2 linked regions of the Kluyveromyces lactis genome follow. The protein of the gene in region 2 purifies or fractionates together with the protein of the main gene of each other region. This does not show direct contact. Links are inferred from orthologs where the notes say so. Each region holds a gene or a part of one and is shown on either strand. Other genes may lie near its edges. The genes, in order: NTO1 and PDP3.

What was found.
Region 1: the proteins of PDP3 (region 2) and NTO1 purify together in Saccharomyces cerevisiae (affinity purification with mass spectrometry; 3 studies listed by BioGRID, with this or other methods). This does not show direct contact. The link is inferred for Kluyveromyces lactis from reciprocal best matches to the Saccharomyces cerevisiae genes PDP3 and NTO1.

Annotation. Positions count from the first base shown.
Region 1 is NC_006041.1:584,265-588,634, forward strand, and holds NTO1 (Nto1p), read right to left. Parts: upstream 2,944-4,370; coding exon 760-2,943; downstream 1-759. Other genes in the region: SEA4 (Sea4p), read right to left, coding at 1-568; RTG3 (Rtg3p), read right to left, coding at 3,481-4,370.
Region 2 is NC_006038.1:945,767-948,788, reverse strand, and holds PDP3 (Pdp3p), read right to left. Parts: upstream 1,675-3,022; coding exon 661-1,674; downstream 1-660. Other genes in the region: KLLA0_B10824g (pyridoxal 5'-phosphate synthase), read right to left, coding at 1-196; BSP1 (Bsp1p), read right to left, coding at 2,355-3,022. UniProt on the Saccharomyces cerevisiae protein: Histone-binding component of the NuA3b histone acetyltransferase complex. Targets the NuA3b HAT complex via histone H3K36me3 to the coding regions of actively transcribed genes to coordinate transcription elongation.

The sequences.
Region 1 (4,370 bases), on a different chromosome or scaffold from region 2:
TTGGATGCTGGTATATAGGATTAGGAGCTCTAAGGTCAATTTCTTTCAAGAGTTTTGAACTTGCAGCTAAGATGCTGGTATCGTCGACAAATTTCAATGACACGATACTTTCGTTCAAACAATATGAAAAAGATGGTGTGATAACATTTGATTCCGTGCTTTGGTAGTTTACATCCCACACCTGTACAGAGGCATCATGCTTATTGCGATCTAAACCCATGGCTATTAGGCCATTTGTATTTATACTCAAACTGTTGATAGTTCGCTGGTGCTTTGCTCGTACTCGTAGATCGAACGGCTCGTATGCATCGTCCGTATCCAAAATATTAAATAACCGTACAACACCGCTTTTCTCACCGACACCTACTATACCTTCATCTGTATTAGAGTAATCTAGACATGTTATATTTCCAAAGTCCTTTACTGTATTCACCTTAACGATGGACTCGTCTGTCTCCACATCCAGCTTCACTCGGTAATGAGAAACTTCATCTCTTGTAGGATTAACAGACAAAAAATCCAACCCTTCCACATTTGGCCAACAAGGAACGCGTTTAATCAAGCCCATGAAGTAATACTGGTGGATTGGCCTCGACAGATGCTTTACTACATTGAATACCGTAATATTATTTGATGCATCTTATCACTCATTCTGAAGTTATCTTGAAATAATTTACCGTATATAGTTTTATTACCCGGATATATGTACATAGGAACAGGAGAGTTAAGTACTGAGTGAACGAAAACTTGATGGATAATTCAGTCACGTAGTAGTCCTTTCAATTGTCTTTCCTGTTTGATCGATAAATCTTCAACATCAGCTAGTCCTTCGCGTGCAAGTATTTTCCGGCCCTTCCAATTAACCTCTTCTACTTGATGTGTTCTCTCATCTATATCGAAATCGTCATGTAATAAAGTATGTACATCTAACTCATCAATCTTAGATAAAAGTTTGTTAAGATCGTTGATGAGCTTAGATCCCATTATTACCAGTGATCTCGGTGACCTCTCATTGGATGTTATTTTCACTATATTTCCAACAAATTCATCCTTGAATTCTTGGACAGATAAGTATTCATCATTTTCAAGCCTGGAGCTAATGTAAGGTATGACCTTGAAATTTGAAGATGATTCGAGGTCTGCAAAAGATTTAAAAGATAAAGTCTTTGTGAGATTGTTCCACACAACATCCTTCAATATATACCTTATCGGATGGAACGCAATGTCGTTTATGATCCTTTGGTTTCTTACCCTTTCAACATTACATTCTTGTTTAGCCACCAAAGATGATGCAAGACCTTCCAATGAATTGAGGTCTCTCAAAAGAACTTCTGAGAATACGATTCTGTCATTTAGCTCTTCGGTATCTAGAGTATTCAAAGAAGATGGGCTGAACTTTCTTACCAAAGGAGCGCCTCTTTTGAGTTCTCTTTTCATTGTCCAGTACTTGCATATATCCAACGAAATTTGCTCGGAATTTGGAACATGAAATCTGTTTAAAACTCTCATTGTAATATCTGCGAAGGCTTGAGGTGCAATTAAAGTTCCCCTACTGGTTTTCCATTTATTCTTAATGGTTTTCTTGGCAGATTGCTTGTTTTCTTCCACGGCACTGTCTTGTAGCACCTTGTGATGATTAATGTGATTAAAATAATCCCTAGTTTTACGAATTCCGTCTTCACAGCTACTCCAGCCGTTAGGAGAATGTTTGTGACAAAAACTTTCCAGGAAAGCACCTGTGGAAAAGTTTTTTGAGGCAGCCTCTTGAACTGTACATCCATTGAAGTTCATGTATAATCCAGCTCTTTTAGCGCACGTAGTGTGATACGCTGCAAAACAGTTCTTATTCGAGCATTGGATGCAAGCACCGACCTCTTGTTTGCAAATATAACATGTGAGCTTCCATCGACTTTTCGGGATATTCTCTATTCCTCCAATCGGCTCCATATAGTGTAGATTTCCGAAATAAAGCTCTGGTATCCAAATTCCACATAACACATGGCCCCACGATCCGTTATCCGTTTGTTTGAAAGCTCCAGTGGTACTGGGACAAAAGAGACACTCGAGCTTTCTATTTTTGGATATCATGCATCTTCGGCAAAGCCACTGACCTTCTGGAATGAAAACTACACCATAGCATTCCTGATGTACGGCGATATCGCAACCATCGCAAAATACTATCGCATTCGAATTATCACATTCTATGCCTCCACATACTGCACACGGTTGATCCATTGGGTATCCAGTACCGTCGTCTGATCCGTATAACTCATGATGCTTCCAGGCAGCATGAGATTCATGCGTATTATTAGTAGCACTAGGTGATACTCTTGGTGGAATTTTCTTCTCTAAATGGAAAGCTTCGTTCTCTAATATCGTAATAACTATTTCGAAAACTTCGTGTGATAACTTATGCTTAGAATTTGTCAGTGCCGTATTTAAGTGCCGAAGGAATAAGTCATCTTGCTCATCCATATCATACTCTACCTTAAAATTAACCTGGTATGGCGAAACATCAGCAAAAAACTCATTGCTATGCTTCATCAATAGATCAGTCTTCTTACAGTATGACTTTTGATCTAATCCGCAAGTACGATCTGCATGAGATCTGTATCCGTATTTTACCAACTGTTTATTAACCTTGCCATGAGGATTTAGCTGTGATATCCGAATCTTACAGCGCTTGAACTCTGCGTTCTTGATTTGAGGTCCTAGCATTTCGATTGTTATGCTATCGTTTACGATCAATTGTTTCCATGACTTCAAATGTTCTCGCAAATTATCGTCAGGATACACTTCTTCTTCATCGTGGCGATGACGATCATTCAACTCATCATGATTATTTTTCCCAAAAAGGACAAGGTCATTTACGTCTAAATCCGGATAGAAATGCTTAAAACTAACTTCTTCTCGAAGCCTAACGCCGTCCTCTTGAGTTTGCATTAGTTTATCCCAACTATATTACAGCCTATCGTATCCAAAATGAGCTTCTTCGGTGAAAAGAGGCATGTCATCACATCTAATTGGATCGTTTTCAACATATAGGCCGATTCATTTATCTTTTTTCTTTGTTATGGTTTTCGGAGTATATATCACGTGATATGATTGAATGTTAATTTGACTTAAGAACTGACTCTGCAAGCGTCCGTAGATATGATCGACACTCATTGAACAATATTAGGGTTAGCATCTTTGAAAAGTTGATCAAGGCGTCTAGTTATCCTTTTATATTACTGCTTTTTCTTTCATTTGTAACGGTTTTATGACATTTTGTGATTAAAAGTGATGTGCCAAGCAACAATTAATAAGAAGCATGAATTTGCATATTATAAAAACACATTATCGTTACATAGCGCATTGTAGAACTAAGGAACATATATATATATATATATATATATATATGTATATTAACTACTTTAAGTGGTATACATTTGTATATTCTTGTAATTAGATTCGAAAAAACCCAAGGAAGATCATCCCCTACTCTTCGAAATCAAGTAATAAATCAACAGGATTTTCGGCACGTCCGCTGAACATTAATTTGCTGTTGTCTTCGTTCTCCATTAATGTACCAGACAAAAATTGTTGAAGATCATCATGTATCGCGTTTGCTCCCGCGTTTGTCTCCTTGACAAGCATCGGATATGTTCTACTGTCAATAATCCTTTCTGGATATTGCTCATCATCGTTAATATATTCATTGTTGATGTGAGCTTGTTGTTGTTGTTGTTGTTGTTGTTGTTGTTGTTGTTGTTGTTGTTGTTGTTGTTGTTGTTGTTGGTGTCGCTGCTGTTGGTATTGTTCTGAGGAGATATGATGAGTAATGGGGGATTCAGATTTGGAAATATGTTGGTAATTTTGAGAAGTTTTCGGGTATGCTCCTGATTGCAACAGAGAAGAATTTGTGAGATCCGACTTTTTTCTTTCGAGTTCAGCGATCTTCTTCCTTAGTTCTTCCTTTTTTGCATCTTGAATCTCTAAAACTTGCTTTAAGCAATCCATATATTCAATTGTTCTTTTCAATATAGTTCCTTTATTTGGTTTTACCTTCTTTCCAAAATCATCGAAATGTAACAATGTTGGTGGAACCAATGTCCCCAACTCCTTTATTTTAGCTTTGATCAGCTCTCTTCTACGCCTTTCGACGGCATTATGAAATTCTCTTCTCCTACGTATTTTCTCATCTTGAGTCAAAGCCGATGAGTTCATGTCTTTAGGCGTGGAAGTCAAACTGCTACTTGTTGGAAACTGTTGCGAACCCCTGTTACTTCTCAATGACGATGAGAGTTGCGAAGCACCACGATAACTGGCAGAAGGAGACCTTAAACTTGAAGACAGTTGGTTGTAAGAGTGGGAATCAAACGAATTCA
Region 2 (3,022 bases):
TAGACTTTGATGTGGCAAAGATAACATAATGACTATTGGAGCCTTCTTCATGAAAGGCTTTATGAGGAAGCACATATGTGTAGTTCATCAATGAAACATTAGGAATGCAGTCTTTAGAAGCTGTGGCTAAATGAACATATTTGGATGTTTTAAGCAAAGATACTAAATGCTCTGGCAAATCAACGGTAGTGGACATAACAACTTGAAAGTTATTGAAGTAATACTTGGCGTATTTGATAAACAATAAAAATTTACAGGAAATATAATTAAAATATCGGTTCCCTAATGTGCTAGCTTATGGGAAAGATGTCTGATGTTTGTAATGAAGTGCACAATTTTGCTACCTTAAAGTCATTTTAAAGGTTTTGGCAATTTTGTTAATAATAACAATTGATGGGGAACAGAGCGATAAACGTAAATAATGATACATTATGATTGAAGGGTCCAAGAAAAGAAGGAATAGGTACGGTGAGGTAACTGGAGAGGTGGTAGGGATGAGATTATGTAGGTTAATGTGATAGATTTTACATGAGAATAATGTCAGAATTGAATTGAATTTGTTATAAAGCAGTAATGCATTGTTTGTGCTTTCCTTTTGAACGGTTCTTTTGTGCTCTTATTATGAATCGAAGATATTAAAAGTGACAGTTGTGATCCACTCTATGGGGATAGCGAACCCTTCAGTTTCAGTTTTTCCTTTTTGATCTTTTGAACATGAGGTGCCCACACTTCCAATATAGTGTTACAAGATTCGTGAAACTGTGATAATTCAGGCATACTAGAAATGACTTTTAATAGTTTATGCAATTTGGATACCCTAAGGGCTTCTAAATCAAAGAATTCCGGTGTTGATTTAGTATGTGATAGGATTTTCCTCATGAGTTTATCAGACTCGGCAAGATCTGCATCTGTTGGTGGGGTATCTCGTTGAACCAAACACTTCTGTAATTTGTTACGGAATATTTGAGCAATCTCTACCCTACGTGAGTAGTCAAGCTTACTGCGTTTCTTGGGAGGTTCTTCTGGTACGAATGAAGGAGATGTCGAGAGAGATTCTGATGAGCTTTCCCTCTTCTTCTTGAAATCTGAAACAGATGTTGCGACAGGTGTAGATACCGGTGAGTCTCTATTTTTGTTTCCACTACTGGGCGACTTTTTAGCTTTGGTACTTCCGTTACTGTTATTATTGGAGGTAGAATCCTCTGATTCGCTTTCATTTCTTCTTCTGCCCCGTCTTTTATCCGTAGATTTAGTGTCTTCCAGTTTTAACTCAATATTGGAAAGTAATGGGTCCTCTCCCATCTTAACTTCAGCGATAGTTTCCAAATCATCCGCTCTTCCCTCCGCTGTCAACCTGTCTTCGACAAACTCTTGCAAACTCGTATAGTCGGATGCAAACTGGTAAGCTTTCTTCAACTCTTTCGAAGACCTTTTGGGCGGCGATTTTATCCACGCTTCTATATTTTCCTCAGTAAGAAGTTTTAACTGTTTTGGTTTAGTCCAATAATAGGTAGAATCGTTAAAAAATGCCACAGCAACTTGACCAACGTTCTCCTTCGCCTTCAGCACACTCTTACTCAATATCCGTTGAGGAACAACTACAGCTGGCCATGGTTCGTAACTGCCCACGGTGCAAAGAACCAGGTCACCAGTAACTAAAAGCCCGTCTGTCATATTTTGCTTAAATAGATTGTGTATTCGGATTGGTAAAATCTGTAAGTATAATGGAAAGGAAACTAAAACCCTAAATGTCAGGGCGTAAAGATCAAATAGTAAACTCTGATATCTCTCTTTCTCAGTTTCTTGAGCACTCAATAGGTAAACACAAATAACGGTTTCGACAGAAAGAATGCTAAACGCTAGAATAGAAGCTTTAAAATCTTACGCTCTAACTTCGCACTGGCAACACAAATAGCAAAGGAAAGAAGAGGCCGTATAACAGAATTAACTTGACCTCCTTCCCTAAATGAACTGAGATGAAAACGAAAACAAAACTCTTAAGCTACCAGTAATCACTTTTCTCACACACAACACCACAGTAATAGCTGCGTGTGTTCTGACCAGTGAAAGACTGTTTGGACGAAATATGAATGGGAACTTCGGCAATCAAAATTCCATATCAACTGCTCAAGAAGCATATATTGAATATAATTTGAAATAATTGATTGTTTTGTTTTGGATAAAAAAAAAGCTTTAAGGTCGGAAAATGGAATAAGTAATTAGGAATTAAAGGCATACGTATTTAGAAGGGTAACTTTACAAGATCAATGAACGCACATTAGCAGTTGACGAATGCGTTTTTGCCGGATTGTGCAACTAGTTTGTGGTTCGAGTTAATATGAATAAGGAGGTATTTACAATTTAGTGACGTCTGTTGGGAGCTTACGTTTTGGACCCTTAGAACGTACCTTTGTTAGCATTTTCTTTGTCTTCGCATTCAATGCGTCAGATGATGAGTTTGCAGATGATGCAGTTGACGACGCCAATGCCGATAGAGAGGCCTGACTACTGTTGATTGTTTTAATCAGTTGCTTTTGGAACTTTGAGCCATGCTTTTGTAGGCTCTTTAATGATGAAGAGGATTTCTTTTCAATTTCCGATTCCGTTGAGGATCTCAAAAGAGCTTGCCTCTTTGCCATCGCTTCAGGTATTTCTTCTACAGAACTGATAGAAGAAGGAGGTTTGTTCAGTTTAGACTTGGCTTTAACTGCTTCTGGAGTGATATCACGACGAGATGGTGCTGTGTGGGTCTTACGTAGCGATTTTCTTACAGCGAAAAATTCGTTTTGTTCGTCATATTCGTCATCGTCATCATCATTGCTGTTGTAAGCATCGTCATCAGATGGTAACGAAGGTCTTGATGATCTCACTTTAGGGTTTCTAAGTTCAGATTTTTTTGCAGGTTTCTTTGGTGCAACTTTACCGTTCTTTTTACCGTTGCATTTGGACTCTTCGTCGGTGGTACCCTGAGACAATCTAATTTTTTGGAAAACCTCGGAGAATTCGTCCACTGGATCAGTGT